4 linked regions of the Arabidopsis thaliana genome follow. Each later gene encodes a partner of the first gene's protein in a complex. Each region holds a gene or a part of one and is shown in the gene's direction. Other genes may lie near its edges.

What was found.
Region 2: UVH6 (region 1) and AT4G17020 share a complex: the UniProt entries of both Arabidopsis thaliana proteins name them as parts of the 7-subunit TFIIH core complex.
Region 3: UVH6 (region 1) and AT1G18340 share a complex: the UniProt entries of both Arabidopsis thaliana proteins name them as parts of the 7-subunit TFIIH core complex.
Region 4: UVH6 (region 1) and XPB2 share a complex: the UniProt entries of both Arabidopsis thaliana proteins name them as parts of the 7-subunit TFIIH core complex.

The regions. Positions count from the first base shown.
Region 1 is NC_003070.9:773,343-781,662, forward strand, and holds UVH6 (RAD3-like DNA-binding helicase protein), read left to right. Parts: upstream 1-2,184; 5' UTR 2,185-2,307; exon of another isoform or gene 2,308-2,465; 5' UTR 2,466-2,479; coding exon 2,480-3,013; intron 3,014-3,139; coding exon 3,140-3,420; intron 3,421-3,812; coding exon 3,813-3,895; intron 3,896-3,993; coding exon 3,994-4,397; intron 4,398-4,529; coding exon 4,530-4,723; intron 4,724-4,810; coding exon 4,811-4,991; intron 4,992-5,143; coding exon 5,144-5,268; intron 5,269-5,464; coding exon 5,465-5,554; intron 5,555-5,659; coding exon 5,660-5,738; intron 5,739-5,831; coding exon 5,832-5,908; intron 5,909-6,195; coding exon 6,196-6,304; intron 6,305-6,401; coding exon 6,402-6,521; 3' UTR 6,522-6,702; downstream 6,703-8,320. Other genes in the region: AT1G03180 (non-structural protein), read left to right, coding at 201-349, 754-811, 889-1,197, 1,310-1,358, 1,443-1,537, 1,626-1,705, 1,780-1,837; AT1G03200 (uncharacterized protein), read left to right, coding at 7,413-7,494, 7,739-7,782. UniProt on the Arabidopsis thaliana protein: ATP-dependent 5'-3' DNA helicase, component of the general transcription and DNA repair factor IIH (TFIIH) core complex, which is involved in general and transcription-coupled nucleotide excision repair (NER) of damaged DNA and, when complexed to CDK-activating kinase (CAK), involved in transcription by RNA polymerase II.
Region 2 is NC_003075.7:9,576,851-9,584,565, reverse strand, and holds AT4G17020 (transcription factor-like protein), read left to right. Parts: upstream 1-3,126; 5' UTR 3,127-3,483; coding exon 3,484-3,596; intron 3,597-3,666; coding exon 3,667-3,834; intron 3,835-4,089; coding exon 4,090-4,158; intron 4,159-4,252; coding exon 4,253-4,346; intron 4,347-4,465; coding exon 4,466-4,566; intron 4,567-4,647; coding exon 4,648-4,693; intron 4,694-4,767; coding exon 4,768-4,827; intron 4,828-4,906; coding exon 4,907-4,975; intron 4,976-5,087; coding exon 5,088-5,171; intron 5,172-5,293; coding exon 5,294-5,377; intron 5,378-5,473; coding exon 5,474-5,559; intron 5,560-5,649; coding exon 5,650-5,740; intron 5,741-5,893; coding exon 5,894-5,974; intron 5,975-6,112; coding exon 6,113-6,187; intron 6,188-6,276; coding exon 6,277-6,410; coding exon of another isoform or gene 6,411-6,414; exon of another isoform or gene 6,415-6,499; coding exon 6,500-6,593; coding exon of another isoform or gene 6,594-6,627; 3' UTR 6,628-6,691; downstream 6,692-7,715. Other genes in the region: EXLB1 (expansin-like B1), read left to right, coding at 1,385-1,517, 1,864-1,973, 2,105-2,416, 2,552-2,749; AT4G17010 (transcription factor IIIB), read right to left, coding at 6,939-7,193, 7,523-7,633. UniProt on the Arabidopsis thaliana protein: Component of the general transcription and DNA repair factor IIH (TFIIH) core complex, which is involved in general and transcription-coupled nucleotide excision repair (NER) of damaged DNA and, when complexed to CAK, in RNA transcription by RNA polymerase II.
Region 3 is NC_003070.9:6,310,399-6,316,678, reverse strand, and holds AT1G18340 (basal transcription factor complex subunit-like protein), read left to right. Parts: upstream 1-2,747; 5' UTR 2,748-2,944; coding exon 2,945-2,975; intron 2,976-3,098; coding exon 3,099-3,187; intron 3,188-3,268; coding exon 3,269-3,551; intron 3,552-3,820; coding exon 3,821-3,867; intron 3,868-4,060; coding exon 4,061-4,098; intron 4,099-4,184; coding exon 4,185-4,230; intron 4,231-4,329; coding exon 4,330-4,383; intron 4,384-4,467; coding exon 4,468-4,536; intron 4,537-4,643; coding exon 4,644-4,720; intron 4,721-4,804; coding exon 4,805-4,900; intron 4,901-4,991; coding exon 4,992-5,067; 3' UTR 5,068-5,236; downstream 5,237-6,280. Other genes in the region: MKK7 (MAP kinase kinase 7), read right to left, coding at 70-993; AT1G18335 (Acyl-CoA N-acyltransferases (NAT) superfamily protein), read left to right, coding at 5,353-5,457, 5,555-5,657, 6,037-6,116, 6,217-6,280. UniProt on the Arabidopsis thaliana protein: Component of the general transcription and DNA repair factor IIH (TFIIH) core complex, which is involved in general and transcription-coupled nucleotide excision repair (NER) of damaged DNA and, when complexed to CAK, in RNA transcription by RNA polymerase II.
Region 4 is NC_003076.8:16,541,404-16,550,308, forward strand, and holds XPB2 (homolog of Xeroderma pigmentosum complementation group B 2), read left to right. Parts: upstream 1-2,936; 5' UTR 2,937-3,170; coding exon 3,171-3,180; intron 3,181-3,279; coding exon 3,280-3,323; intron 3,324-3,410; coding exon 3,411-3,483; intron 3,484-3,563; coding exon 3,564-3,732; intron 3,733-3,814; coding exon 3,815-4,037; intron 4,038-4,139; coding exon 4,140-4,196; intron 4,197-4,503; coding exon 4,504-4,647; intron 4,648-4,755; coding exon 4,756-4,836; intron 4,837-4,932; coding exon 4,933-5,020; intron 5,021-5,231; coding exon 5,232-5,569; intron 5,570-5,754; coding exon 5,755-5,830; intron 5,831-5,917; coding exon 5,918-6,111; intron 6,112-6,406; coding exon 6,407-6,570; intron 6,571-6,657; coding exon 6,658-6,730; intron 6,731-6,832; coding exon 6,833-6,946; intron 6,947-7,048; coding exon 7,049-7,129; intron 7,130-7,346; coding exon 7,347-7,718; 3' UTR 7,719-7,781; coding exon of another isoform or gene 7,782-7,834; 3' UTR 7,835-7,924; downstream 7,925-8,905. Other genes in the region: AT5G41350 (RING/U-box superfamily protein), read right to left, coding at 623-652, 802-911, 1,021-1,450, 1,621-1,761, 1,983-1,985. UniProt on the Arabidopsis thaliana protein: ATP-dependent 3'-5' DNA helicase/translocase; binds dsDNA rather than ssDNA, unzipping it in a translocase rather than classical helicase activity. Component of the general transcription and DNA repair factor IIH (TFIIH) core complex.

The DNA.
Region 1 (8,320 bases):
TTGATTTGTTATTCTCAGTTTCTATCGGGTTAATTTGTCATTTGCATCGTTTCTAGTTTCCACTTTTGTTGGGTGATTTTCTTCTCTGGAAGGATCTGTTTTTCTCTTCTTCGTCTTCTCTCACCCGCCTACTGACTTTTTTTCAAATTTCTTCAGCAACACATACATACAGTCACAAGGTTTCCAATTTTCGATTCACGATGGAAATGGCGGAAGGGGAAGGAACTACAGAGGAGAACTACGACGTAGACATCGCGACCACCGCTTCTTCATTAGGCGGCTCCGGCGTCTTCCATATCATCAATGACATAGTCGGATTCGTCCTCTATATGCACCAGCAGATCCCTTCGTATGTTATCTCTTCCTATCTTCGTATCTCTATGCTTCGATGTATCCTTCGATCTGGTGATGATGTATCTATTTGTTTGTTCTTCAATCTCTCCGTTAATTTCTCCGATTAGTCTGTTGGTTACGAATTTATCAGAAGAAAAATAGTTTCGTGGTTATGAATTTATGGATTCTGGATGGATTAGTGATTAATTCCTGGTAGGTGAGTTATGTTCAATTCTAGGAGAAATTGAAAAGCTCTACGCAATTGTGCACACTACTTCCTTTTGGTTTTAGAATTAAGTCTGTTGTATCCACTATGAGTGTTTTACTGAAAACCAGAAACTTCAATTTGCAGCTTTGGTTTTGGCTACACAAAGCTCCTTCTACCAATATGACTGTTGTTGGTTATTTACATCTGTGCAGGGTATTACAAGACATGAGCCTTGAATTTGAAGGATTGCAAACTGAATTTATGGATTTGGTATGTTAGTCCTACAGACGCCATTTTCACTTTAAGGTCTAAGGTCTTTTTCACACTCTAAGAATCTTAGGTTGTAGGAGACGAATCTTGCAGAACCTCAAGTGAAACCACTGGTTAGAAGAAAACTGATGAGTAGAAAGAGAGAGGTGAAGAATGAGATTAAGAAACTGGAGAAACTGATGAAAACCATCTCTAGTCTCCGAAGTGCGCTGCAGTTAATGATCCGTGAAGCTCCTGGCATTCAGAAAGTTGTGTTGATTCTTGGTGGTAGTCCATTACGGCCTCAAAATGCTTATGAGTTGTTATTCACACAACGCAGAGACCATGTTCTAGGCTACGAAGGTGACTTTGCTAAATCCAAAGCTGCAGAAGCACTTTCAAAAAAGGTTTATTCTTTTTCTTACCTCTGTTTTCATGTTGCTTGTGATTTGTCTCTTTTCAATTTTATCTGCTGTGATAAGTCAAAAATGGTTGAGCCCTTCACTCTTGGCTTTACAGACTATCCGAGCACTGATCTCGACGGGTGCTGGATCAACTTCCTACCCAGGTAACTTTTGCATAAATTGCAAACTTCTTTAGCATTGTTGTGAATTATGGTGTAATGATTTTTTTCCCTTCTTCTGAGTTGCAGGTCCAATGAGGCTCTTCATATTGGTTCATGCTCCACCTACTTTGAATCTTCCACAACATTTCCTTCCTAAACGTGACTTCAGATACAACAGAAAGGTATACACTTCTCTGCTAATTCTATTTCACACATCCATGTACAACATTCCGATTTTCCGTCACCTGCAAACATCTTTTATTATTGCAGTTTGTGCCTTCAAAGTTGAGATTCAAGTGCAGAACGCAAGACAATGCAACAAATTCTCCTCCCACAAATGATCTAATATGGTACTTCTCTTATTCACAATTCTCCAGTTACACACTAAACAAGTTCTTGACCATGCCTTACTGTGTCATTGCAGGTATCAATGTCGACATGTGATAAAGGGATTAGCTTTCCATCAACCAGTTGAAGAATAAGACTTTAGAGTTTGTTTGTATCTCTCTATTGTTGTAACTAAACCCTGTTGCAAATTTTAGAAAAAAACCAGCATTGTTGAAACAATTCCAAATCTTGAGATGACATTGTACTACTACTACTGCATACTCTAATACTCTGTTGTTTTAACAAAATCAGGATTGTTCAACTATTTTATATTTTTGGACGAATTGTTAACATTTAAAAACCTAATTTTGTCGAGAAGTTTAATATACATAAAGTTAGGGGGTCAAACGCATTAAAATAAATAAATAGGGGGTCAGAATGAAAAAGAAACAAAGCTTTAAGTTTTTCTAATAAGAGTCCTCCTCTTCTGTTTGCTCTGGTTACTTCGGCAAACACAGACGCAAAATTTTCTTCTTCTTCTTCTTCTTCTTCTTCTTCTACCTTGAAGCTGCTACCGGTTCCTCTCTCAGTCGTTGATAACACATCGAAGCTTCCATTATCACCTGTAAGTTTTCTCCTGTTATCTTCTCTTCGCTTGATCTCAATTGTTCCTTCTTTCTCGTTGTTCGGGTTTATCTACTCCAACTTGAATCGCTTGTTTTGCTAAAGTGAATTCGAGTTTTTTAGGGTTTTGTTAGTTCTAATGCCAATTTCGATTTCTAGGTAGGAGGAAGAAGATGATCTTTAAAATCGAAGACGTAACTGTCTACTTCCCTTATGACAACATATATCCAGAACAATATGAATACATGGTTGAATTGAAGCGAGCCCTAGACGCTAAGGGACATTGTCTTCTCGAGATGCCTACCGGAACTGGTAAAACCATTGCTCTTCTCTCTCTAATCACCAGCTATCGACTCTCTCGTCCTGATTCTCCGATCAAGCTTGTTTACTGTACTCGTACTGTCCACGAGATGGAGAAAACGTTAGGTGAGCTTAAGCTACTACATGACTACCAAGTACGCCATCTCGGCACCCAGGCTAAGATCCTCGCCCTTGGTCTTTCCTCTCGGAAGAATCTTTGCGTTAATACTAAGGTTTTAGCAGCCGAGAATCGTGATTCTGTTGATGCGGCCTGTAGGAAACGAACTGCTAGCTGGGTTAGGGCTTTGTCCACGGAGAATCCAAATGTAGAACTCTGTGACTTCTTTGAGAACTATGAAAAGGCTGCTGAGAATGCGTTGTTGCCTCCTGGTGTTTATACTTTAGAGGTAAGATTAAAAAAGTTAAGGTTTTTCACATTTGTTGTTTGATCAAGTTTATGTTTTAGTTGGAATGCTTATTTCGAGGTTACTTGCACATTTTGCCTGATGGTATATGTGTGTTTCGATTTTTAGGATCTAAGGGCGTTTGGTAAGAATCGTGGATGGTGCCCTTACTTTCTCGCGAGGCATATGATTCAGTTCGCCAACGTTATTGTTTACAGCTACCAATACCTACTGGATCCTAAGGTTGCTGGGTTCATATCAAAGGAGTTACAAAAAGAGTCAGTTGTAGTGTTTGACGAGGCCCATAATATCGATAACGTGTGTATTGAAGCACTCAGCGTCAGTGTGAGGAGGGTTACACTTGAAGGAGCTAATCGAAATCTTAATAAGATAAGGCAAGAAATTGATAGGTACGCTAATTTTTTCCTATATAGCTGATACTCCTTAAGTTCTCTTGAACGTGCCACTCTTAATACAACAATAAACACAGTGATAGGGTCTTTTCTTTTTCAATTGAATTTCCTGATTGTTCTTGAATGCCATCTGGGTGTCTGCTCACTCCAGTTGCTAATTGTTGGTTTTCTTAAGGAAGTTTAAGTTAGTAAGAAAATAATCTGGTTTTATGAGACTGCTTTTTGTCAAAGAACTGTAAGGGGAACAAAAATTTACAAACGCTTTTGTCATCATCTTAAACACATGAAGCATAATTTTCTTGGTTCAATACAGGAAGTGACCTGGTTATTTGCTGATGCTTATTTTTAAGTTCTTATTACATTATTGAAATTGTCCAACTGGTAGGAAGGTTCAAGGCTACTGATGCAGGAAGATTGCGAGCTGAATACAACCGGCTGGTTGAGGGTTTAGCACTGAGAGGGGACTTATCTGGTAAGTATGTGTTCAGGAAGGTGATCTGTGATTTGATTGAAAGCACACAGTAAATTTTCTAATTCTATGAACTTGACGCAACAATTTTTTTTTTGCAGGAGGTGATCAATGGCTTGCAAACCCTGCACTGCCTCATGATATTCTAAAGGAGGCTGTCCCGGGGAATATTAGACGGGCTGAGCATTTTGTGCATGTTTTACGCCGATTACTTCAGTACTTGGGGGTACGGCTGGACACTGAGAATGTAGAGAAAGAAAGCCCTGTTAGCTTTGTATCGTCACTGAATTCTCAGGCTGGAATTGAGCAGAAAACACTGAAGTTCTGTTATGACCGGCTCCAGTCTCTCATGCTAACCCTTGAAATTACAGATACAGATGAGTTTTTGCCTATCCAGACAGTGTGCGACTTTGCAACTCTTGTTGGGACATATGCCCGGGGATTTTCCATCATCATCGAGCCTTATGACGAGAGAATGCCCCATATTCCAGATCCTATATTGCAGGTAAATATGGTGTTGACCTACTTTCTTTTGAGTATTGTCACTGGGATTTTAAGGGATTATGACTCACACGTAAATGCTACCGTTTGAATAATTGAGAATTGTATCTGAAACATATATCCTTTTGTATCTTAGTTGAGCTGTCATGATGCGTCTCTGGCGATCAAACCGGTGTTTGATCGTTTCCAGTCAGTCGTGATTACATCAGGCACATTGAGCCCAATTGATCTTTACCCCCGTCTTCTTAATTTCACTCCTGTTGTTAGTCGAAGCTTTAAGATGTCAATGACACGAGACTGCATCTGCCCTATGGTTCTAACTCGGGGAAGGTATGTGGTATATAAAAAGAATCCTGAACACTTAACTTATTTTTTAATTTTATATGTCTTGACATTATTGGTTGTTTTCTTTTTCAGTGATCAGCTTCCTGTTAGCACCAAATTTGACATGAGAAGTGATCCTGGTGTTGTGAGGAATTACGGAAAGCTTTTGGTAGAGATGGTATCTATTGTTCCTGATGGAGTTGTCTGCTTCTTTGTTAGTTACTCATATATGGATGGCATTATTGCTACATGGAATGAAACTGGAATTCTGAAGGTAAGGTCTTCTTCATCGCTTTACCATGCCAGTAATTTTTTCAGAGTTTTGCATGAATTGGAATTTTTATGATACCTCAAAATATTTTTAGTTGCTTCAGGCATTAATGTATATTTGTTTACTGATATTACCAATTCTCTTAATGTTTGTAGGAAATAATGCAACAGAAGCTTGTTTTCATTGAAACACAAGATGTTGTAGAAACAACATTGGCACTGGATAATTATCGCAGGGCTTGCGATTGCGGAAGAGGTGCAGTTTTCTTCTCTGTGGCCAGGTAAAATTTTTATTTTTGAATGGTAGATGGTTTGGGAATTCATTGCAATGCGTCTTTGGTTCTGCTTCTTTGTTTCTGTATTATAATACTGGAATTGTCTCTTCTCTCCTATTCTTGGTTGGTTAACAAATATTAAAGAGGTTTCACTTTTGAGAAATTTCAAAGAAAGTGATCAAATTTTGTATTTGAACTGCAGGGGGAAAGTTGCTGAAGGTATCGATTTTGATCGTCATTATGGAAGACTGGTTGTAATGTACGGAGTACCATTCCAGTATACATTAAGCAAGTAAGTTGTACTCAAATGAATGTTTATCATTTCAATTTCCGGTTTTCTGCTTTTATATTTCATCGTACTTGGGAGATGATAAGATGGAAACGGGAAAAATTTCAGGATATTACGAGCAAGATTGGAGTATTTGCACGATACATTTCAAATAAAAGAAGGCGATTTCCTAACTTTTGATGCCTTGGTATGATTCTTATTTTATGATCTTATTAGATTTTGGTGTGCAACTCTTTTACCTGTTTGTGACTGTTGTTAACTCTTTTTGGCTTTAACACAGAGGCAAGCAGCTCAATGTGTAGGGCGAGTAATCCGGTCAAAGGCTGATTATGGGATGATGATATTTGCAGACAAAAGGTACATGCCCGCCTTAAGTTTTCTCTCTCTGAGTCTGGTCATTTAGATTCTTGCTATTTTACTAAATGGGATTCTCTCTATAATCTATCTAGTATGATAATAAGTATATGCGCAAGTATCTGAGATCACCTCGAGAATAGAAGATTGTAACAGAGTTCACACTGTTCCTTAGGAATGGGAAAATATTCGTAGGACAGAAGAGAGACACAGATATATGCTTATGTTGGTTTATAATGTCACATTTCTATGGTCTAACAATACACTGCAATTGATGGTAAAACTTGCAGATACAGCCGTCATGATAAGCGGTCCAAACTACCTGGTTGGATACTTTCGCATCTGCGTGATGCACACTTGAATCTAAGCACTGATATGGCTATTCACATTGCTCGAGAGGTAAACCTATAACTCGCTGCTTTTTTATAACTCACAGTGAAACAAACAACAAGGCATAAAGAATCAACAATTTTCCTGGTTTTTGTTTTTTTTGCAGTTTCTTCGGAAAATGGCTCAACCGTATGATAAGGCGGGTACAATGGGAAGGAAAACTCTGTTGACACAAGAAGATTTGGAGAAGATGGCTGAGACTGGTGTGCAAGACATGGCTTATTAGTAAATCAGTTTGTTTGTTATTTTTTGGTTTAGGTCAATCAAAAATTGTTGTAGCAAAAATTTTCACTGTAGGTATTTTGTTCTTTTTCTTGATGATTTTCAAGAATCGAATTGAAATTTAAGGCTCGTAAAAGTTTCGTTTTGGTTTTAAATCTATTGAAATTAGCAAAATTTATGCTTAATGTTAAGATAACTAGATTATCATATTCACTCATTACATCATTTTAGATCAAGAAATACTTCGTCGGCTCCTTGTTAAATCTATCAAACATACCACTAAAAAAAAAAAATCTTAAAGAATGATTAAATAAATTTAACCAAGCAGTAGAAGTGGAATTGAAATTGGCAGAGTTAGTGCGACGACCCAATCACCTGTCTCCAATAACCGCCTCAAAAACTGTCGAAGCCCATTGGGCACTTGCAAAGCCCAACAGTTGGAGTTCCAGCTCACCCACTAGCCGTTATTACGCAGGCTAATTTTTCAACGTGCGAGAAACCAGATTTCCTTTTTCCCGAAGACTATTTAGGGAATTTCCTCTCTTGAGCCAAATTTTCCTTTTTCCCAAGGGGGGTATTTAGGTATTTTCGTCTCTCTCGGCCAAGTTTCCTTTTTCCGTTCCTCCGTAATAAAGCTTTCATTCTTTTTGTAGGTTTCCATTAGAAGTTCAGAAATACTGTTTATAAATACAAATCCAGAGTCAGAGATCCATTCGATAGCACTTTCCTCTCTTTCTCTCATCGTAAAACCGTTCTTCGTTTTTTCTATTTCTCTCGTCTCTTTCTTCTACCCAGATCACTGATCAACCGTGAATTTTACTCTACTCTTTCATCAATTTTACTGTGTTTAATTCATAAAACAAAACAAACGATCGATTTTTGTTTTTTTTTGGGGATGAAGATCAGAAGCAAAAGCAAAGGCTATCGTCAAGAGATCAAATCAACTTGCACCGACTCCAACACTCTGTTCTCAAAAGGTACTTTTCGTCTTGTTGGAATTTTTGGCCAAATAACGTCTTTTTTTTATATGGTATCTAATTACTGTATTCTGGTTGATCGCAAAACAAAGAATTCTCATGTTTAAAGTGGGTTTCGTCTAATCCAATTTGAATTTTAGGTCTTATATTATTTCCCTAGCTCTAACCCTAATCATATATTTCTCAAAGTTTTTGATTTTTATTCAAGATTCCTTCTAATCAATTATTTCTTCTTTGTATGTAGATGTGGTTGCAACTTCGGAGCTTTTTTCATCTGTGATATCGTAGCGTGTGAAAGACGGATAATTCTACAGAGACAATGCATCATCCCATTCGGTCAGGTCAATTTTCATCCCTATTTTGTTTATAATCTATAATCTTATAGATAGTTTAATTACAAAAAAGGTTTTTATACTTTTGATTTTTCAAAACAAAATATATTTCTCAAAGTTTTGATTTTTAAAAGTTTTCAACTCTTTTTTATTTTTCTTTTTTTTTATAAATACTAAATTAATATGACATTTTGAAATCTAACCGGATTTTGGATCCCGCCATTTAACCTTGGTCATTAGCGATTCCACAAATCCAACAAGTTTTTCACATCTTCATGTATATTTAGCATTTATTTTTCTTAAAAAGTTTTCAACTCTTTTTTTTTTTTTTTTAAAGTTTTATAAATACTAAATTAATATGACGTTGTGAAATCTAACCGGATTTTGGATCCCGCCATTTAACCTTGGTCATTAGCGATTTCACAAATCCAACATGTTTTTCACATCTTCATGTATATTTAACATTTATTTATTTTTTTAAAAATTCAACTCTT
Region 2 (7,715 bases), on another chromosome or scaffold:
CACGTTTTTGTTTCACGTTGGAAACAGAATTCATTGGTAATACAACTGGCTTATCAAACACAAAGATCCTTAAATGTAGATACCGGATCCAAACTTGAACAACATGCTATTGAAGAATCTCTCTCGAAAAAATGACCAAAACTTGTTTTTTTATTTTGTTTTTTTCCAAGGAACCAAAAATCTAGGAAAACAAAATGTTAATCCAAACTATTTTCATTTTATATGATATTTACTCAAAAAAGAAAAAGACCAAAACCATGTTTTCTGTCCATATATTGGTTACAACTTGCAAACCCATGTCGTTATGCTATTTTACACAATCTTAATATTACTAAAATGCTAGTAGTGAAAAACAATAAAGGCTTAGTGATTCCAAAAAATAGCACGCTTGGCATATTCTATGAGTTCATTCATCCAATTCACCAAACAACTATCGTAAACCAATCTATTTACTATTAGGTGTCATGAACTTCTCGTTTTGGAGGCACAACCTATCCTTTTTCAAATAAATAATAGTCCCAAAAGCTATAAACCCCACCATTGTCTATTGCATTACATATTTTGGATATTTTATACAAATATCTACAGTAGTTTCAAAATATATAATCAATACAGGATGTCTACAAAGGGTTAGTAGCGATATAGCATCAACCAAAAATAAAGCCATAGCGCTATAATCTTTTTTTGTAGGAATGTAAAATTGTATTCATCCAAAACATGTTTTACAATTGAATGCCACATAGAGAGCTGATAACAGAAAGAAAGAGTGTATACTCCTATAAGAAACTAGAGTATTAGGAATTGATTTTCAGTGTTAAATGCATCTTTTATCTTTTCACTTGAAACTAGTTTGAATTTCGGTATGTGTTATACGGAAATGGAGATTATGCATCTATTGGAACTATGTTACCTCAATCTTCTGAGCTTTACAATGTTCACATACTTAATCTTCTAAAATACTACTATATTGATAATTCGATATCTAATACTCTCCTTAACTAATCTAGACTACAAAAATCAAAGAATAAATTGCGTATAATAAGAATCGACTTTTGAATCTACTGGGTTTATGCCAACCCTAATGCTATATTGGCAGATGTATGATGTAAACATTTAATTTAATACCAAGTTAAACTATATAAAAAAATTGAGTTAGCTTTAAGCTTTTTGCCAAGTGGAAAGTAAAAAATAGTGACGATGCTCGATCAATTGTATAATTGTAATAAGCACTCTAGCTGCAGCTATAAATACCCTACTAAGTCTCTCATCTATCTTCACTATCTTTTGTGATAAGAAATTCTATTATCAATTCCTATCATTTGTTAAGAAAAAGAGTTAGAAGTATTAATAATCTTACAATATTTATAGATAAGATAACAACAATATGAAGCATTCTCACGTTTTGCTTCTTCTATTTGTTCAAGTCATTGTCCTTTTGCCTCTCCTTTGTCTATCCGACGATTTTGTTAACTCTAGAGCTACTTATTATGGCAGCCCCGATTGCAAAGCAAATCCTCGTACGTATTAAAATTGTTATTGCTATATACATCGTGTACCTTAATTCTTTTTCATTTTCTTAGTTGTTGTATAGACTTGTACACGTTATATATTGGTAAAAGATACATTGGTGTAATATCTCACTATAAGCCATAACTAATTATTTTTGTTTTATATCTACGTATAGGTTTCTTGTTTTGTTTTATTTTGAAGGTTTATTCAAATTCTAAATACATATATGATTGAAAACGAGTCCACTAAGTGTCCATTAACTGCGTAATTAGTAATGATAACTTTCCATTATGAGAATATACATAATATTTGTCGAAAGAATAAGAATAATTAATTAATTTTTTGATGATGCAGGGGGACATTGTGGGTATGGAGAATTTGGAAGAGATATCAATAACGGTGAAGTGAGTGGTGTTTCATGGCGACTATGGAACAATGGAACTGGCTGTGGTGCTTGTTACCAGGTTATTATATATAGTTATCTACTTATCTCAATCAATATTTCATCAAATATTATTATAGTATATGCTATGTCATTAATTACTAAACTTATATTATGAAAGAAAAAAAAACTTATTTTATGAATTATAAAAAGGTGAGGTGCAAGATACCACCACACTGCAGTGAGGAAGGAGTATACGTAGTGGCTACGGACTCCGGAGAAGGAGATGGCACGGACTTCATCTTAAGCCCTAAGGCGTACGGACGTATGGCGCGACCCGGCACAGAAAATCAGCTCTACTCCTTCGGTGTAGTCAACGTTGAGTACCAAAGGATCCCTTGCCGATACGCAGGGTATAATCTGGTGTATAAGATCCATGAGAAAAGCTACAATCCTCATTATCTTGCCATCCTTGTCTTGTACGTTGGTGGTGTTAATGACATCCTCGCCGTTGAAGTCTGGCAGGTAAATTTAATCAAAGATGTTGAGAAACTTAGATATATGTTTTTGAGGATCAAAATATATAGTTTACTCTTAGATGATTTTGTGAAACAAAGTTAAACGTTATTATATGGTATGCATGTATATGTATGATTTTAGGAGGATTGCAAAGAGTGGAGACGTATGAGAAGAGTGTTTGGAGCGGTTCATGATTTGCAGAATCCACCTAGAGGCACTCTCACATTGAGGTTCTTAGTCTACGGAAGCGCAGGAATCAATTGGATCCAATCGCCAAACGCTATTCCCGCTGATTGGACTGCCGGAGCCACCTACGACTCCAACATTCTACTTACTTAATTGATTCACTTTTCATCAGTGTGTTTTTATCATATAGTATTTATTATGGTTTCTGTATGCAATGGCTAATATATTTAAATAATGCCCTCTAGGACAATATAATTAATGATGATAATATAAATAATCGTAGTAGATTCATATATAATTTATGTATTGTGTCTCACTAAGAAGATTGTAATGGTTTGTATGAGTTTGATTTTGATGGAATAAATCAGTACTAATCAATTTATCAGATGATGATCAAACGTTTCGTAAGCTTTTTTTGTTTACATTTTGGTCAGTCAAGCATATATCTCTCCCTAATCAACCATTTTCATGAAAACAAATTGGCGCGATTTTTGTTATATAGATAGGCCCATTAGTAGTATTCACAAGGCCCATTAAAACTTAATTTATCTTGGCCATCCTCTTCGATCGATTTCGTCAGTTTTCTTTGATTCTGGGTAGTAAATAATCGGGATCAATTGTAGAAGAGCTCATCGAGAAAAGAGAGAACCTAAACTTTAAATTCAATTCTGTATTGTTCTCAAACTCGAACCCGAAACTTTAAATCCTTCCTTATTTGTTTTCTGGAGTTCTTGTTTAGAACTGTTTTGGATTTGTTTTTTTTGAGGAGATGCTTTAGTTAACTAGGTTTGCTTCGAGCTGATCGCTGTGTGGCATAAACCCTAATTTCGTGGAAACTGTGCTCTTTTAGAACCGGTCCAGTGAGTAAGGGAATCCAATTGGTGAAGATGCCGCAAGTTAAGATCATTGCTAAAAATTTCATGGACATGGTGGCGTCACTTCCAGCCATCAAGCTTGACAAACTCTACAACAATGTCTTTATCTGCGAAGCCATTCTCAGGTTAATTTATGTGTCTATGTTGTTGAATTTTGAAAAAATTGAGGATCTTACATTCTTAAGATGGTGTCAGGTCTTTGCCGCCTCTTGCCAAGAAGTATGTATTGCAGATGTTGTACATTGATGTTCCTGTACCTGCTACGATGATGGAGGAGTGGGTGCTCGCAGATGGCACCTCTAAACATAGAGTTGCTATTGATCGACTGATTCAATTAAGGATTTTTTCAGAAATTAGTGATAGGTATGCATTCTTGCTTTATTCTTGATACTGTCATGATTTGACTTATTTCAGTTAGTTCAATACTTCTGTCTATTCACGTTGGAGGGTTTATTTGATATATTTATTTAAAAGAGTGATGGTGGATGTTAACTTGAGCATTGAACCCTATGAGCTTCATCTTATACTTCAATTTACTGTGTTTGGATTGATTATGATTGTATGTGGCAAGATGATAGTTCAGATTTAGTTCTTAAGCTGCTCTTCGTACTTTTGCAGGAAAAGGGGAACCAGCTACAGCCTAAATCCTACATTTCAGAACAATCTTCAGAAACATATTATTTCCGGGTAAAGACATCTTTACATTGACGGTACTCTCCTTTTTCGTTTTTTCTCTAGGCTTTTGGAGAAGATGCTGATGAGCTAAATTTGAATTTTGCAGTGGAGTTTTGCCTAGAGAGCCTATGAACTCCGACAATGCCATTAAACTTCCAAGCCTACAAGAACTCGAAACCTATGCACTTAAGCAATGGGAGGTGTGTGTATTTCCTAATTTCTTATTGATAATACTAGTAAGGTGGAAGTAATTTGTAAAACAAATATCTTTTAATATGAACTTGGTTAGTATCTGATGATGTGTACTTATGTTTGTCAGTGTTTCTTGCTACAACTTATAAATTCGGGTCAAGGTGAAAAACTAACTGGCATCAGTTCATCCATGATGAAAATTTTTCAGCGAGGTTTATTGAGTCAGAGGTAATGTTTTCATACACGTCTATAGATGCATAGTGGTGGCATATAGCCTCCCTATTTGATACACTTCATGTAATATTGCAGAGACAAAGATGGCCCGAGATTAACTGAGAGTGGCTTTCAGTTTTTGGTATGCAAATCGTGAGTCAGTGGTCTATAATTACCTGTATTCATGTAAGTAACCTGATTGACCTCAATTTTCAGCTGATGGATACAAATGCCCAGCTTTGGTACATTATTCGAGAATACATATTGAATGCCGAGGTTTGTATTATTCCTAAGGTTTTGTGAAATTGATATCTCTATTTCGCCGAATGGATAACCCAATGCCAGTGTTTCTCAGGAGCGAGATGTAGATCCAGCAGACTTGATTTCGTTTTTGTTGGAGCTTAGTTTTCATGTTACTGGTCAGGTATAACAGAACTTCACAAAAAAGTCATTTCAAGCGTTCTTGTTCTTGTTTTTACTCTTACTTGATTTAGCGGGATGCTTGTTAATTATTTCGGTGAGCTTACACATTGCAGGCATATAACTTAAATACCTTGACAGAGGTTCAAAACAATACCCTCAAGGACCTTGCAGACTTGGGATTAGTCAAGCTTCAACAGGTTAGACTTAGACCATTTGTAATATTTTTTTTATTACCAAATATCAAAAGAAAAAAAACTTTGCTAAAGTTATGATTATAGAACTATATCACATGCTGAGCCAGTCTTTATGATTATTGAAGGGAAGGAAAGACAGTTGGTTTATTCCTACTAAACTGGCTACAAATTTATCAGTCAGTCTGGCAGATTCATCAGCGCGAAAAGAGGTCACACCTTTTTTATTCCCCTCTTGTCCCATATCTACCTGCTACCAACAATTTTCTTGATTTTGTGTATCGCTGTTGTTTGTTGTTCCTCATCAGGGATTTGTCGTGATGGAAACAAACTTCAGAATGTATGCGTACTCCACATCTAAGTTACAGTGTGAAATTTTACGACTATTTGCGAGGTAGAAGCTCCTGAACATCGACCTGAAACTTTACTCTTCTGTGTCTTAAAATCCTTTAGGTCTAAGTAGTTGGTGCTTCATTATTTCCAGGATAGAGTACCAACTTCCAAACCTTATTGCTTGTGCCATTACAAAGGAAAGTTTGTACAATGCATTTGACAATGGCATCACATCAGATCAGGTACAGTTGGTTTCAGTTGAAAAACATTTTGAAGTTATCGAATACATGATTTTGCCCGGATCCTCACTGTCCTTGAAATGTTGATCAAATTGTTGATGCGTCTCTTTATAGTTTCTGAATAAATATTTTTTCCTTTTCTTTTGATTGTCACAGATTATAACTTTCCTCCAGCAGAATTCTCATCCACGATGTGCTGATCGAGTCCCATCTATTCCAGAAAATGTCACTGATCAGGTTTATACTCTCTATGCCCATCAAGTGTCGATTATACAAAAATGTGTATAGGATTGGTTTATAGAATTGAAAGTGTATACTATCTCTACGTCCTGATTCATCAGGCTTATGTTGAATAAAAATGCATTGTTCTGGCAGATTCGGCTTTGGGAGACAGATCTGCAGAGAATTGAGATGACCCAGGCTCACTTCTATGATGAATTTCCTTCAAAAGTAACAAACCTGAACCCTCTTATTATTTTCTCTTCTCCATAACGCAAAACCGTTATAGTAAATCTCATTAACCAAAATCATGTTAGCAGGATGTGTTTGAGGCAGCTTGTGACTTTGCTCGGGAATGGAGAGGCCTTCTTTGGGAAGACTCTAAGAGAATGCGACTTGTTGTGAAATCCGAAGTTCACAATCAGATGCGTGAGTTTCTTCATACCCAAAGCAGGTAACAAGAAGAAACTCACATTTTCTTCTCGTATTAAAACAAAACATCATGCTTCGATTCTACAAACTATGTCTTTCGTGAGGTTTCAGCAGAAAGAGAAAAAAGAGTAGCCATTTGATGTCTTGTTACTCTATTAGTTACCATCGTTTTTATCCTGCTAACACATGCGCACCCCAAACGTAGGAAAAGTACTTGGTGTTGGTACCCACGAAGTTGAAAGTTGAAACCTTTAAGCTGTAAGACCGATCCATTGTAAATCACAATATACTTTATTAGGCGAAGTTAAGTTTGAAACAACATATATTGACAAAACGTGGTCGTTGGGGATGGTCCAACCAGGGTCACCTCTATAATTTCTTGTACGCTAGACAGAACACAATCTCGGTTTTGATTCTATTCAGTTGACCAAATTTCAAAATTATTAAAACCTCAGCAAATGCGAGGCTACAATCTCAGTTTAATCAACTAAGAGGATGTATTCAGAGACGCTGAATCTATTCTGTGTCAACATGAAGACAAGATCTGACTTCATTTTGCTTGAGATTTTTCGTTGGCTGAGGACTCTGAATCCTGGATCTTATCTCCCATGTTTGCATCTGTAGTCACATTTGCATTTCCACGTGCCCGAGCGAGTTTCTCAGCTTCTTCAATCTTTCGTATAGCTTCCTGTTGTGTTGCGTTCATCATTGTCCCCATCGTTTTCTTCTCTCCTTCGAGCTGAATTTCCATTATGGTACTAGCATGCTTGTCTATCGGTTTGAAGTAGTCTTCAATTTGAGCCTCCTGTATTGGTAAAAGACCCAAAACATACTTAGACTTATATTCTCCTAACACGAACAAAAGTAGAACAAAAGACTCTCTGATTTATGGAACACAGACTCTGGCACTGATTTCACTCTTTTCTTCCAAAAATTTCTGCTTTCAAATATCTCAAACGCCAAAAACTAAAAGCGTTTTCTCTTCTATGAATGCTTTCGAACCAAAAGCACTTCGAAGGAAACAATATCTCAAACATTTTTCACCACACTTAATATATATAATTGATATTAAACAAGTGATAAACTCAACCATTTGCAAACTTTGGACTGAGGATAAAGACAAGAGAGACTAACCGTATTCTCAATCTGCTTATTCAAATTCTGCATCTCCTCAACCATACGGCGGACTTCAGATAATACAATCTGCTCTGGAAGTCTGTTTATCTCTACTTTCCTTTGGTTAGCCTGCAGGACCAGAGGTTTGATCAGATAAAAAGGTAACCATGAGGTCCATGACCAACCCAAGCTAGAAGCTAGAAGTCACAAG
Region 3 (6,280 bases), 5.5 Mb from region 1:
AAAAAATAATAATTGCGATTTGGGTCACCCGGAAAATATCCAGACCCGTAATATCACAAGCAGTCGGATCTAAAGACTTTCACGGAGAAAAGGGTGACCGAGAAGCTGCGACGCCGTCCACCTCTCACTCGATTCTTTACGGAGACAACAGTCAACAAAACTCCTAAACTCGTCGGAACATCCTTCCGGCGCACGCGGTGGTTCTCCAAAGCACACGACGCACATTAACGTCGCCCAGTCAGGTCTCTGTCCCTGAGGAAGCAACGGAAAATGTCCGACGAAGAGCTCAAGTATCATCACTCCGAAACTCCAGATATCGCCTGCGTAAACATCGGAGTTTTCTCCGGCGGCAGAGTCAAATCTCTCCGGGCTCATGTAAGCGCAAGTGCCGACGTAGGAATTGCAGTAATCTAACGATCGGGTAATGATTTTGCTCACTCCAAAATCAGCGATTTTAACTTCGTTTCTCGAGTTTAAGAGTAGATTCGCAGGTTTGATGTCTCTGTGAACGATCTTGAGTGAGTGGAGATAACTTAAACCTTTCAAAATCTGGCGGGAAAATCCCGCTAGTTGTTTCTCCGTAACGGCGCCGCGGAGAGATTCTAGGTTTCCACCGTCCATATACTCCATGAGGATCGAAACCTCTCCGACGATTGGTTTCTCGAAGATCCCTTGACACCTGACGACATAAGGAGAATCCGTGCGACGGAGGATCTCCATCTCGCGCGCTAATTGTCTTGTGAAAGCAGGACTCATGTCGCCGTTGACTGATTTCAGAGCGTATATCTCCCCCGTGGTTTTGTGGTGGACTTTGTATACGATCCCGCTGCTTCCTCTTCCGAGAACGTGGAGTTTCTCGACATCGGAAGCTGAGATTCCGTTGTTGATGACGGGGGCGGTGGATGAGGCAAAGGAGAACCAGGGGAGGTGAACAGAGAGCGGTGGGACAGGGAGACGGAGGTTGATTTGACGGCGTTTACGAACAAGAGCCATGGAAATAGAAGAGAGAGAGAGAGAGTGATGATGGTGATCGAAGAGTGATGGAAGTTGCAGTTTTTATATGGAGACTTGAGTGGGATTTAAGTGAGGAGCCTGGGAAGCTAATAAATCTTTCCATTAAATGTTAATCACTCTTTTTTGTTCTTTATCTTAATTATTATTTGTTGAGTTGTATCTAAAAATGGCAACTAGTGTGTCTACCGTTTATGTTTATCTTGCACGAGGTTAAATGCATGGGACTGCTATCTGTCCTACTTACCCGGAACCTGGCTATAGTGGCTTGTGTATATTGAGATAAATCTACGCAATAATGATTAGATTTATATACATTTAAAGAGTTTGTTTTAGTGATTTTGAATGGTAACTCAATTATCAAAGTTTGTTACAGCCTGTATCGTGATAATTACAAATTACAAAGGCGTTATAAAAGCGTTACTTTTAACGTTTTGCATTAATGATTAGATTTATATGCATTTAAAGAGTTTGTTTTAGTGATTTTGAATGGTAACTCAATTATCAAAGTTTGGTACAGCATGTACCGTGATATTACAAATTACAAAAGCGTTATAAAAACGTTATTTTTAACTTTTTGTACTACTTATTTATATAGTTTTGCATTCTAATTTACAGCTAAAACAACTTTAAAGCTTTGTGTTACCTATCAGAATCGTTATCTTCACATTCAAACACATAATCCATTGTTGTTGAAAAATAATAATACTTTCAAAACATTTATTTTAGTGATATTAATTTGACTTGATAGTAAGATTATTATTTACTCATAAAGACATTGGTGGAATTTAGTTATATAATTTTCATATACTAAACTATAGGAGATTTTAAAGTTTAATGTGAATTTGTGAGGTTCAATGTACCTCGGAGGCTAAGGACTTCTAATGAAAATGACCAAACAATAAGTTATATTTAGGCCATCATGCAAAAGCTTTCCAATGGCCATCGCCATTAATATTGCCAAGTTAATTATTAATATGATTTTAGTAAAAACTATGATTAGATCTTCAGATTCTTAGTGGACAGTCACACATGACCCTACGGATTACAAGTATTTAGCATGTCGATTGTCATGCGCGTATATATCCAAAGAATACTGAATAAAAATAATATGAAGTCAATCAAATGAATAACAATCAAATTATATGAAGTCAATCAAACCTTTATGAATGTGATTTGCTTCTTTTTCCAACCAAAAAACTTGTTTGTTTATTTGTTAGTTGTTACTCCCAAAAAAATGTAGTAAGCTTTTTATGCCCCATGTATTATATATCAAGACGATCTCCAAACATGACTATAGTTTCATAGGATGGATTGGATATCAGGACATGTGTGAATTTACTAATTTTTAGTATTGAAACAAACAACATTTCAACCAAAATTTTTTACCATTAAAATTAATATATCGACGTCCGATAGTATAAAGCTTGAATAAACTGAATTTCGTATCAGTAGCCAGTTTGAAAAATAAATTTGTTCCTTGAGATTTTGGTGTTCTTTTCCAAAAGAAAGAACAAAGAAAACAAAAGGCCCTTGTAAAAGGCGGTTTAGTTCATAAAGAAAACTGGGCCTATCTAAAAATTTGAACTAATGCCATATTTGGGCTTAGTAAGCCCGGCTTACGATACGACGTTTATAGTCGGATCTGATTCGGATCCAAACCCGTTTGATGGATCCGGCTCCTACCAAATCACTTCAGATTTCTGTATAAGCTAAAAATCCTTGAATTTTTCAGTAAGTTACTATAGCATCCGAGAATTTCATTCTTTAACTCTGGTTCGTAATCGGAAAACTCAAAGACCTGTTGTGAAGATATATTGGAGAAGAAAAAAAAAACGATTTCCCGGCACTGAAATAGCATTATCAGATCTCGTTCCCACCGGGAAGATTTCCCGGCACACTGAAATTCTGACTTGGAATCGTCTGTGAAACTATGCCTGCCATTGCTTCTAAGCAGTATTCAGGTTATTATTAAATTCCTCTTACTTCGAAACCCTCACATTCCTCAATCGTATAAGTATGTAGATTAGATATCCCAAAAACTGGAAACAAGTCTGATTGGCTCGTGATTGTTTTTTTGGTCGCAGACGATGTTAGTCTTCTAGTTTTGTTGCTTGATACGAATCCTCTTTTCTGGAGCACTACATCGATTACCTTCTCTCAGTTCCTTTCTCATGTAAGTGTCTCTAACGAATCTATTGTTTGTTTGTTCAATGCTTCGATTTTTATGCAGAAAGCTTGCTGCTGTTATGTGTAGGTGCTTGCGTTTCTTAATGCGGTTTTGGGGTTAAATCAGTTGAACCAAGTTGTAGTTATAGCTACTGGATACAGTTCTTGTGATTACATTTATGATTCGTCTTTGACATCAAATCATGGAAATTTCGAGAGCAATGGAACTGGAATGCCTGCAATTTTTGGTTCTTTGCTTAAGAAATTGGAAGAGTTTGTTACCAAAGATGAGGAGCTCAGCAAGGAGGAAGTGTCTGAGGATAGAATACCTTCTTGTCTCTTGTCAGGATCACTCTCCATGGCTCTTTGCTGTATCCTCTTGGAAAAGCATATAGCATCATGATAGGTTTCTTGAAGCTATATATAGTACAAACTATTAGGATTTGTTTGCATAAGTTCTGGCAGTGATCTTGAAGCTTAGCTTTCTCTCTAGACTGGGTTAAGTAAGGAACATTTTAGGTTGACATGTTTGTTCTCAGCTAAACCTATAGCATGTCTAAGGCCATCAATGTTATCTGGTAATATATGTATTTGATTTTCAGTCTTCACATTTTGTTGTTGACTTAATTTATGGCTCTAGATATACAGAGGGTTTTCCGTTCTGGACATCTTCATCCCCAGCCTCGGGTGAGTGTTCAGTAGGATATATGTATCAATCAGTTGTCTTGGATAAAACTTTTCATGTTGATTGCTTTGTATGAATCTTCAGCTTAAAGTATTAATGAGAATATAGACTCCTTTTTCTTATGTGTTATCTGTTCTATCGTATACCCCCAAAATACAGAACTGATTGTGCTATTGACGTTTATATGAAATACAGATTTTATGCTTGCAAGGTTCCCCAGATGGCCCGGAACAGTATGTTTCTTCCTTCATTTTTTTTCTACTTGCAAGATTTTGTCTTGTTTGTCTGGTCTCATTAAAAGGTTTTGTCATTCTTTCAGGTATGTTGCTGTTATGAACTCTATCTTCTCTGCCCAACGCTTGATGGTAATCTTCATTTTGATTGGTTCTTTGGGATTTCCGGTTCTTGATGTTCTCTAAATCCAGTATCATGTACCCAAATCACTTCATCAATTGGTTCTTTAGGTTCCCATTGATTCGTGTTACATAGGTGTACAGAACTCAGCATTTTTGCAGCAGGTAATATCATTTCTCCTTTATACATGATTCTAACTCGTCAAACTGGACCTATGCGTCAGCTGTTATCTCCTGGCTTATTTGTAGGCATCTTATATAACTGGTGGTGTACATCATACACCTAAACAGTTGGATGGGCTATTTCAATATCTAACGGTACGCAACTCAAGTCCAAACGCAAACCATTATGTGACTCGTCTCTCATTTAGCGAACTCAATACTCAATGGCTGCTAACTCTGGATTGTTTTGTTTTGCACAAAAGACAATCTTTGCAACCGATTTGCACTCCCGCGGTTTTGTACAACTTCCTAAACCCATAGGTGTAGATTTTCGCGCATCGTAAGTGATCAAGTCATTAACTCTTCAATTAATCGGGTCTTCCTCTGCATATATAACAGATGGTTTTAAGTACAAAATTTGCAGGTGCTTTTGCCACAAGAAGACAATAGATATGGGCTACATATGCTCAGTGTGTCTGTCCATTTTCTGTGAGCATCACAAGAAATGTTCAACCTGCGGGTAAGAGATTTGACCCGTCATGTTCTTTCTCAAGATAACAATCTATCATGTTGTTTGATACTAATATCGAAAAGCTTTTGGAAATTTGCAGGTCTGTATTTGGTCAGTCTAAACTTGATGATGCTTCATCTGCCTCTGATAAGAAGAGAAAAGCTCCTAGTACCTAAAATCATCTTTTGTGCCAGAGAGAAACTGCAAACTTTGTTTAATTGTGTCTTTGCGTTCATTTTCGATAATTTTTATACCATATATCAAAGTGAAATCAATTTTGCAAAGTTTTTGACTCTTTTTTTTTCCTTGAGATAGTACCCGTTGACTTGAGCAAACAAAACAAAAAGGCCTCTAATAGTCCATATAGAAAGTTGGGCTTCTCTATCGAATTTGAACGAATACGACATTTGGGCTGACGTCATTTATTATTGTCGGATCTATTTCGGGTCCAAACCCGTTTGATGGATCCGTCTCCTACCGAATCACTTCAGACGTGGAGAACGAACGAGACAGAGGGAAGAGAATCATCGGTGTGGCGAGCAATGGATTTGAAGAAACGGCGAAAGGTAAAAAAAATCTCGGAAGTAATGTGTATGTTTCATAGCACTCGAAATTTCGATCTTTGATTTTGTTCGAAATCGATAATTGAGAATTGTCGTGCAGATTTTGGAGAAGAAAAAGACGATTCATGACCTTATAAAAAGAGCTTCTTCCATTGACGATCCTCTTTCTCCGTTTGATTCTTTCCGCCGTTACCGAAGAAACGGTAAATTTGTTCTTCTGCTCAATTTTATTTTCGCCAGTTTCTCAAAAATATGGGATTTTGTTTATGCGAACTGATTATCATTGACAATGATTTGATGCATATAAACTTACTTTTACAATTCCTAATGTTACTACATTATGAAGTAGATGTAGTGTTAGTTGGAATTCGTGCTTTTTAACATGGATTTAATTATCTGTGAATCCCTTACTCATGCAGACTTTGGTAACCTATGATCTAGTGTGCTCTGATTAGTTGTTAGTTAGTTATGATAATGTTTGTGTGAATTTTGTTTTCAGTGCTTACTTGTTTCGTTTTAAGTTCACAGAAGAGTCTTGATGGTTAGCTAATTCTGTGTATGTGTTGTTCTTACGTCTTGTAGACTTATCTTTGTACCTGGAATCTGGCCGTGGAGATAGACTTTCCTCGTCTGTGAAACATCACATTCAAAAACTCTTGAAGGTATTAAAGAGAATGAAGTATCATTAAATTTTCTGAACATACTTTCTTAGAAATTTATTCTAGATTTATTGTTGTACTCAAATTTTTTTACCATTCACAGACGAACATGGAAGGGTTCTATGGGTCTGATTGGCCTATACAAGCAAAGGTGAAGCGTAAGGAGA
Region 4 (8,905 bases), on another chromosome or scaffold:
ACAATACGACATCACATATTCAACTAATGAGACAACTAAACAAACCAAGTTTCGAAAATGTGAAGAACTAAGAAATCTAAAACATAAACACTACAAACTAGTAAGTATAAACAATTTTCATATTACATATCACAGAACAACATAAAGAAAATAAATAAGCACTAAACCAAACTAAAATCGAACCGTAATAAACCCAATCCATACATAACAAACTCTCAATTTCAGTTTGATTAATATTTTTCTTAAACTCAAGAAAAAACTGAATCAAACCCAAATTGAAACCCCAGCTTTAAAACACTCCTAAAATAACCTATAAACAAGAATTACCAAAATTAAAACATCTAGAAGAAAAATTATCAGTTTTGTCTCGTTTTTTATTCACAGAAGTGAATCTAAAGCACAAACTCTAATTCTTAATCTCCGTTTTTTTGTAGACGATTTGAAACGTCTGTACACAAACATATGTATATCAACACTGACATGTTTCGTAAATCCAACTTTGTGATCAGCTATTAGTGTATTCTTACCCATTTTTTCTTTTTAAGTTTTTCTCTTGTTCTCCAATTTCTTTCTTCTGATACAGAGAGAATTGAGCCTTCTAAGATGCGGCATTTGCGGGTTGCTAGTCAAGAGTAGAGTCAAATACCATTTCCTGCAGAACAAACGGATCCTCTCAGACATATCCCGGGAATTAAAATGAATTTGTAAACAAGCTAAATTGGAACTACTCATTATTTACGGTTTACTTAGAGATTAGAGTTTTTCGACATACACCAAAGAGAAGTGAATAAAAGAATGTACCTTGTTGCAGACGGGGCAGGTTTCACTTCTCTCCATCCATTCTAGAATGCATGCAAGGTGAAAATGGTGATCACATTTGGCTACAAGTTTCGGGTTCTCGATATCATATTCTGAATCAAAAGCACAGACAATATAATAAATAACCCATTCTCGCAGTCATGTAAGGTACGATTATGTTTATATGTTTTTGAGATGTGGGAAAGGCAAACAAGCTTTTACCTTCCAAACATATGGGACAATCCTCCTCTTCCTCTATTGGTATAAAAACAGCTTTTGATAGCTTCGGGTCTATTTCTTCAGTAGATTCAAGATCAATCTCTGTTTGGATTTTGCTATCTGTCTCTTTATGTGAGCATGTAGTTGGAACCCCGAGAGTAATACCATCAACTGTTTCTTGAGCAGACTCGGTATTAGCAGAGTCCACCGAAACCTCTCTTATATCAACACAAGTAGCCTCTTCACCACTAGCTGGTGTTTGAGGAATCCCTATAGGCACATCGAAAGGGGTAGGCAGTGGCGGTGGTATATAAGCATCAGGAGATGATGTCTCTAAGTTTGTGTCTACTACTACAACACCAGTAGAGATTGCAGAGGAAGTCCTGTTATGAGCGGAAGATAAAGGCACACGCTCTTCTGTTGCCCTTGGGTACTGCAAAATACAAGTCATAAAACAAGTTATATTCCCATATGAATCTCGAAGCCCGTTGGGGCTTTTAACTCATTTAGTGTCCTGAAGCACATCAAGATTGATTTATTTGCAGCCTATCAAAGCAAGGACACCCAAAAAAAACGAGGAAGTGGGAGAAGTATCAGACTAACGTAGTAGTACGCAGGTCCATTATCTACATCAGCTCTTCGTGAAGAAGAACAACAACAGCAACCTCCCATCTCTTCTTCTCTTTTTTTTTTTTTCTGTTTTACAAAAACTACAAAACCCGAAGACTCTTCATCTATGCTAACCTACAAGATATGTGAAGAAACAAATTACATTCTGAGATCAGTAGGAGAATATTTATCATCTATATGCAAGAAACTCAAACAAGCTTTATCGTTTTCGATATCAGTTTGAGCTGTCTACTAAAGTCTGATCAGACTCATCATGCTAGTAGCAACAATAAAACAATTCAGCTACTAACAGTTCAAATTCACTCTCAATAATCAAAGATACAATAAACATCAACCATTAAAATCGAGACAACAGTGTTGCGACTACAAGCCTATGTGAATCTCCTACAATTCTCATTCTCTTTAGCACCATCTACACACAATTGCAATAAATTCAAATCAGTTTTACACTAAACCCCAAAAACTTAAAACAATTCTACTCAGAATTTAACTCCAACACAAACAATGAATCCACAAAAAGAACCAAAGCTCCATTAAGAGCAAGCTAATCCGTAAAACCCTAAACCGAAACTTATAAAAGCAACAATAAACATCAGAATTCTCAGAATCTAGCATAAACACATAGGAGAAATACGGATCAAAACAGTAAAAAAAAAACCCACAGAATTTCACACAAAAATCAAGCTCAAAACCTAAAGAAAAGCGATCACTAGCAAGAACAAACACCAAAGAAGAACCGATCATCTTCTCGAGATTGAATCAGAGAAGAGGAATTAAAAATCTCAAAATCATAGAGAGAATTTTACTTTTTGTTCTTGGGGGAAGCTTTTTTTGTTTTGTCTTCGTCTTTCTCTGCTTCTGTGCTTTTTGCGGTGCTGTGTTTATCGTGCGCTCTATCAAAATGACTTTCCTAAGAAATTACAAAGACTCTTTTTGGGCTCAATATTATATTTACTTACCTGATTTATTAAATTCATTAATACAATTATTAATTAGCTGATTAATTATTTTATTTTTTCCGTTACAATGTATTTTTCAAAATTTCAATAATGAAATTACATAACTGAAAATCGGCTGAAAAGTGTCGACCAAAAAATTATAAATTGGGAAGTACCATTTTCAGTAAAATTATTACTATTTTTTTTCCGGCAAATAATTTATCGATGTTTAAAAAAGAAACATGGGCTCAAACTTAAGAATAAAGCCCATTTAAAGAATCCTATTAAAAGCCCATATTTGATCTGTTACTGCAGCCTTTATATATGAATCGTGTTCTTACGTTTCTGCTTAACAATTTCCTTCCTCCGCTTCAAACGAGTCACCGACTCGACACAGGAATCCGAATTCGCCGGAGACGCAGCTTGCTTCGTTGAATAGCTTACAACGGGAAATTACCACGAAGACGGTTGTATATTCCCTCCGTCGTACAATTTAGGTTATGTGCGAATTCACAAATTGAAAATACAAGAGAAACAATCCCTAAAATCGATTTGATTAAGAGGAGCGAAAAGAAGAAAATCAATATGGGAAACGGTAATGGTCTCGAATCTCGATCGTACTGAGTTTTGATTCGTTTATTGAATTATCCGGTGAAAAGAGTATGCTAATACTGGGGAAAATGTTGATGTTTAGATGAAAGAAAACGACCTACAAAGAAGATGAAGTACGGTGGGAAGGTTCGTGTTGATTCTTCTCCACATGACTTTTTTTATTTATTAGGCTCTTCACTTCTAGTTAGTGTAATTGTACTGTAAAAATCTCAGGATGATCAAAAGATGAAGAACATACAAAACGTTGAAGATTACTATGATGATGCTGATGAGGATTCTCGTGATGGTAATATTGATTACTCTCGTATAATTAACATAGATACATTGGGAACAAAATTGAAATAGAATTTATAATGGTTTTTAAAGGTGAAGGAGAGGAGAAGAGGAGAGATTTTACTGATTTGGAGTTGAAGCCGGATCATGGAAATAGGCCTTTGTGGGCTTGTGCTGATGGAAAGATTTTCTTGGAGACATTTTCTCCTCTCTATAAACAAGCTTATGACTTTCTTATCGCCATTGCTGAACCCGTTTGCAGGTTTGATTTTGATTTGATTATTATATCAATGTACAAGTTATGATTTTTGTTGTTGATTTTCATTCATTTGTTACTATTTCAGGCCTGAGTCAATGCACGAGTATAATTTAACCCCACACTCGTTGTATGCTGCTGTTTCCGTTGGTCTTGAGACAGAAACTATCATCTCTGTTTTGAATAAGCTATCTAAGACCAAGCTACCCGGGGAGATCATTGATTTCATCCATGCTTCTACTGCTAATTATGGGAAAGTGAAGTTGGTATTGAAGAAAAATCGGTATTTTATTGAATCACCATTCCCGGAGGTAAGTTCACCAGACTGATCCTCTTTCTCTAGTTATGCGTATGGGATTTTTGTGTAGTTTCTCTGTTGGTTTTGCTCACTCGTTAAATATAAACAATCTTAGGTGTTGAAAAGGCTTCTCAGTGATGATGTCATAAATCGAGCAAGATTTACTTCTGAGGTATGTTGAACTCCTCAATTTAGTGCTTTATGTTTACTATTACTGGATGGAAATACATACCATGATCTGTTGTTCTCAACAGTTTTTGCATCTTTTGATACCAATGCGGCAGAGAGATCTATCCTGATTCTCTTGGGGCTATTGGTTTCGTGTTTAAATTCTAATTTTTTCTTGAACTATTTAATAGATAAATAAACTCATTATCCTTCTTTTTAAACTCCTTGGTTCATTGAATGTGAAATTGATATCTCTTATACCATTGTATTCTCCACAGTATGTTGAACCAACTTATTAACTTTTTTTCTAGCCATATTATGGTGGTGATGGATTTACGATCGGCAAAACAAGTGGTGAACTTGAAGCAGGACCTGGGGAGTTGTTGAATGAAGCAGAATTGGCAGCAGCAGCAGAAGAGAAAGAAACTCACTCATTTGAGATAGACCCTGCACTGGTAAATTTCCCCTAATGCTTCTGAAATAAATCGTGTTGATGACTTTGTTAATGTTATATGATCTTTACTCAACTCACGGTGTCATGTTCTTCTGCTCTTGGTGTGTAGGTGGAGAATGTTAAGCAGCGTTGCTTGCCAAATGCCTTGAATTACCCTATGTTAGAGGAATATGACTTCAGGAACGATAATGTGAGAAATAATTATCACACTTCAGGTCAATTTTTACTTATCAGATGATATGAACTGGATGTTCGTGATTGTTAATAACTTGATGGTGTCTGTCAGGTTAATCCTGATCTTGACATGGAACTGAAGCCCCATGCACAACCAAGGCCATACCAGGAAAAAAGTTTGAGCAAAATGTTTGGAAACGGTAATACGATATAACTGTCTACGCCCGCATTTATTTTCCTTAGTAATTTGTTTACAGCGACTGCTAAATTGATTGTGAACTTCTCTTAGATATATAGATTTGTACTTTCATACACTGTTCTGATCTAGCTTCATTGTGAACTTCTAATAGATAAGTATCTTTGTTATTTCTCCTGAAAGCTTGTGACTGATCTAGACTCCTGATTCTGCAGGACGAGCAAGATCTGGGATTATAGTGTTACCTTGTGGAGCTGGTAAATCTCTAGTTGGTGTTTCTGCAGCGGCTCGTATAAAGAAGAGTTGTCTTTGTTTGGCAACGAATGCTGTCTCGGTGGATCAATGGGCCTACCAATTTAAGTTGTGGTCTACTATAAAAGATGACCAAATATGCCGTTTCACTTCTGATAGTAAAGAACGATTCCGTGGAAATGCTGGTGTTGTTGTGACAACCTATAATATGATTGCCTTTGGTGGTAAACGATCTGAAGAAGCAGAGAAGATTATAGAAGAAATGAGAAACAGAGAGTGGGGGTTGCTGCTTATGGACGAGGTAATCAAATTGTTCTTAGTGTGATGTGCCTTTGAATTGAAGTTAGTGTTTACTGGTAGTTTACATTGCGGAAAAGTTATATGTGGTTCATTTAGAATGTGTATCCACTATCCAGTGTTACTGGGATCTACAAATAACAAGTTTCCATCCAATGCGTGACATTTTAAGAGTTATGTTTTTCATAGGTGCATGTGGTTCCAGCCCATATGTTTAGGAAAGTTATCAGTATTACAAAATCTCACTGCAAGCTAGGACTTACAGGTAAATGAAAAATTCATTTTCACATACCTTTTTATTTGTTATACTTCAGTTGCAGAAGCTAAGTCTCTTTTTTGGTCTTTTGTTCAGCCACCCTTGTGAGAGAAGACGAAAAAATTACAGATTTAAACTTCCTCATTGGCCCGAAACTCTATGAAGCCAATTGGCTAGATTTAGTTAAAGGAGGCTTTATTGCAAATGTTCAGTGTGCTGAAGTATGGTGTCCCATGACCAAAGAGTTTTTTGCAGAATATCTGAAGAAAGAGAACTCGAAAAAAAAACAGGTTAATGCGTCTAAGCTTTCTCCGCATTGATCTTTGTTTTCCTTGGATATTTTTACTGGATAAAGATCTTAAAATAATTGACTATCTTATTTTATGTTTGTTTGTTTTGATACACTAGAGTCCATGAATTTGATGTAGTCTAGAACCTTATAATATGGTAAACATCAATATTATAGGTTATTTGTGTATGTCTTATAATTTGGCAAATGCTTCTAATAGATCACCCTGTAATAGAAACTAGGAAACCCCTTCAATTGTTCTGACATTTACATATCTTGTCTTCTGGTGTCTGCAGGCGCTTTATGTCATGAACCCTAACAAGTTCAGAGCCTGTGAATTTTTGATACGTTTCCATGAACAACAACGTGGGGATAAAATCATCGTCTTTGCAGACAATCTTTTTGCACTTACAGAGTATGCAATGAAACTCCGGAAACCGATGATTTACGGTGCAACCAGGTTCGTTAAAGAACCACCTATTGAGAGCACAATTTTGTATGTTTCACTCAGTTTCCAATCTGATAGTTCTCTTTGTTCAATATGTAGCCATATCGAACGAACAAAAATTCTCGAGGCGTTTAAAACCAGTAAAACCGTGAACACTGTATTCCTGTCAAAGGTATTAGCGTTGTTTCCTTTCCATTGACCTGGGAATATATAGAGACTTGTTCATTCCATTTTCATCAAGTAACTTAGTTTCGGTTTCTTTTATTGACTACAGGTTGGTGATAACTCCATAGATATCCCTGAAGCGAATGTGATCATCCAGATTTCGTCACATGCTGGTTCTAGACGTCAAGAGGCTCAACGTTTGGGTCGTATCCTTAGGGCTAAGGTGTGATTTTAAGTATTATAACTCATCACATTTTGCGTCTCTCCTAGAGTTCCTCTTGGTTGTTGGATCCAACACGTTTTATTTCTCCGTGATCAAAAACAGGGTAAACTTGAAGATAGAATGGCTGGTGGAAAAGAAGAGTACAATGCATTCTTCTACTCGCTTGTTTCTACCGATACACAGGTAAATCACTTTATTGTTGAAGTAGCCATAAAAACTGAAATTCATCAGACCAAATCAGAACCAAAATATAATTCAGTTCTAGTCCGCACTCGTTTCCAAAACACAGAAAAAATTTTGCTTTCCAGAACCCGTGACTTGAATTCCTGAACCGATAAAAATCGAATGACTGATTGAATGGAGAATGACTGATGTAAGGATCGTGAATGTTGAAATGCAGGAAATGTATTATTCAACGAAAAGACAGCAGTTTTTGATCGACCAAGGTTATAGCTTCAAGGTAATAACAAGCCTCCCACCTCCGGACGCGGGTTCAAGCTTGGGCTACCACAGTCAAGAAGAACAGTTGTCTCTTCTCGGAAAGGTGTTGAATGCTGGAGACGATATGGTTGGTTTAGAACAACTTGAAGAAGACACAGATGGAAAGGCTCTAAAGACGCGACGAAGCATGGGATCGATGAGTGCAATGTCCGGTGCAAATGGAAGGGTCTACATGGAATACAACTCAGGTCGTCAAAAATCTGGTAACCAATCCAAGAAACCTAAAGACCCAACCAAACGACACAATATCTTCAAAAAACGTTATGTTTGAGACAAGAGAACTCATATTCGGCTATATGTTTTGAGTTGTAACTTTGGTGCAAATTTGTTTCAGGCACAAAATCAAGAAAACCTAAACGAAGACACCCTACCTTAAAAGACCGTTAACATTTGATATTTGTTTTATTATGTGAATTGATTAATTGATATTAGAAAGTTCTTTCCTTTTTTTTGATATTTGTTTTCTAGCATATCATGATATCGCCTCGAGAATACCTTTGAAAATTATTTTGTTATTGTCAACTGTCATGATATCTCGCTGAACCAACATATAAAACACGATTATAATTTGGTTGACAGATCCTGAACAACAGTAAAACGTACTTAGTTTTCGAGGTTAAAAAATAATTACTTGTCATGATTTCGAATTAAAAATAATAATGGGCTCAATTTGAGATTAAAGAAAGCCCACGCTAAAAGAGGCCTACTAAATGCCCATATTGGATCCGTTATTGTAGCCTTTCTATATATGAATCGAGTTTGCATTTCTGCTATAACGTTCTCTGCATTCACATGATCACATCAACTCAGTAACGGACTCGACATACCCGGACCTGGACCCGACACCGAATCCGAATCATAATGCGACGGAGACGCAGCTCGCTTCTCGGTCTAGCTTACAACGGAAAATATTTACGGTACCGTTTGTTTTCCCTCTGTCGTAGAATTTCTGTCTTCGACACCGGATTGATATAATCGATTGAAAAGACAAGAGATAATGTCTAAAATTGATTCGATGAAGAGAAAAAGATCAATATGGGGAACGATAAAAGTCTCGATCTTACTGATTTTGGTTAATTTTCATATTACCCTGCAAAAAAAAGTATTGTCAATTCTGGGGAATTTTGTTGTTCAGGTGAAAGATGAAGAAGACCCGACTCTGTGTGTTTTTTCTTTTAAGTGTCGTACTGATGAAGAAGATCTGGGTCAATTAGTCATCCGTTATGGCCCAGTTGTTAAGATGTTATCCAAATCGTAAGAAGAAGGCCCGACATGTTTTTGAGACGTTGGTAAGAAGAAGGTCTTGCTTCTTTTGTGCATCCAGATAATGTCTATATGACCAAGGTAAGAGCATCCTCATTGCACATCCTCCAATGAATGTCTTTCATATTAAATAATATTAAATTTAAAGACCCTCTCTCTTTTGACAGGTAAAATGTCTACTATTAAGACACATCC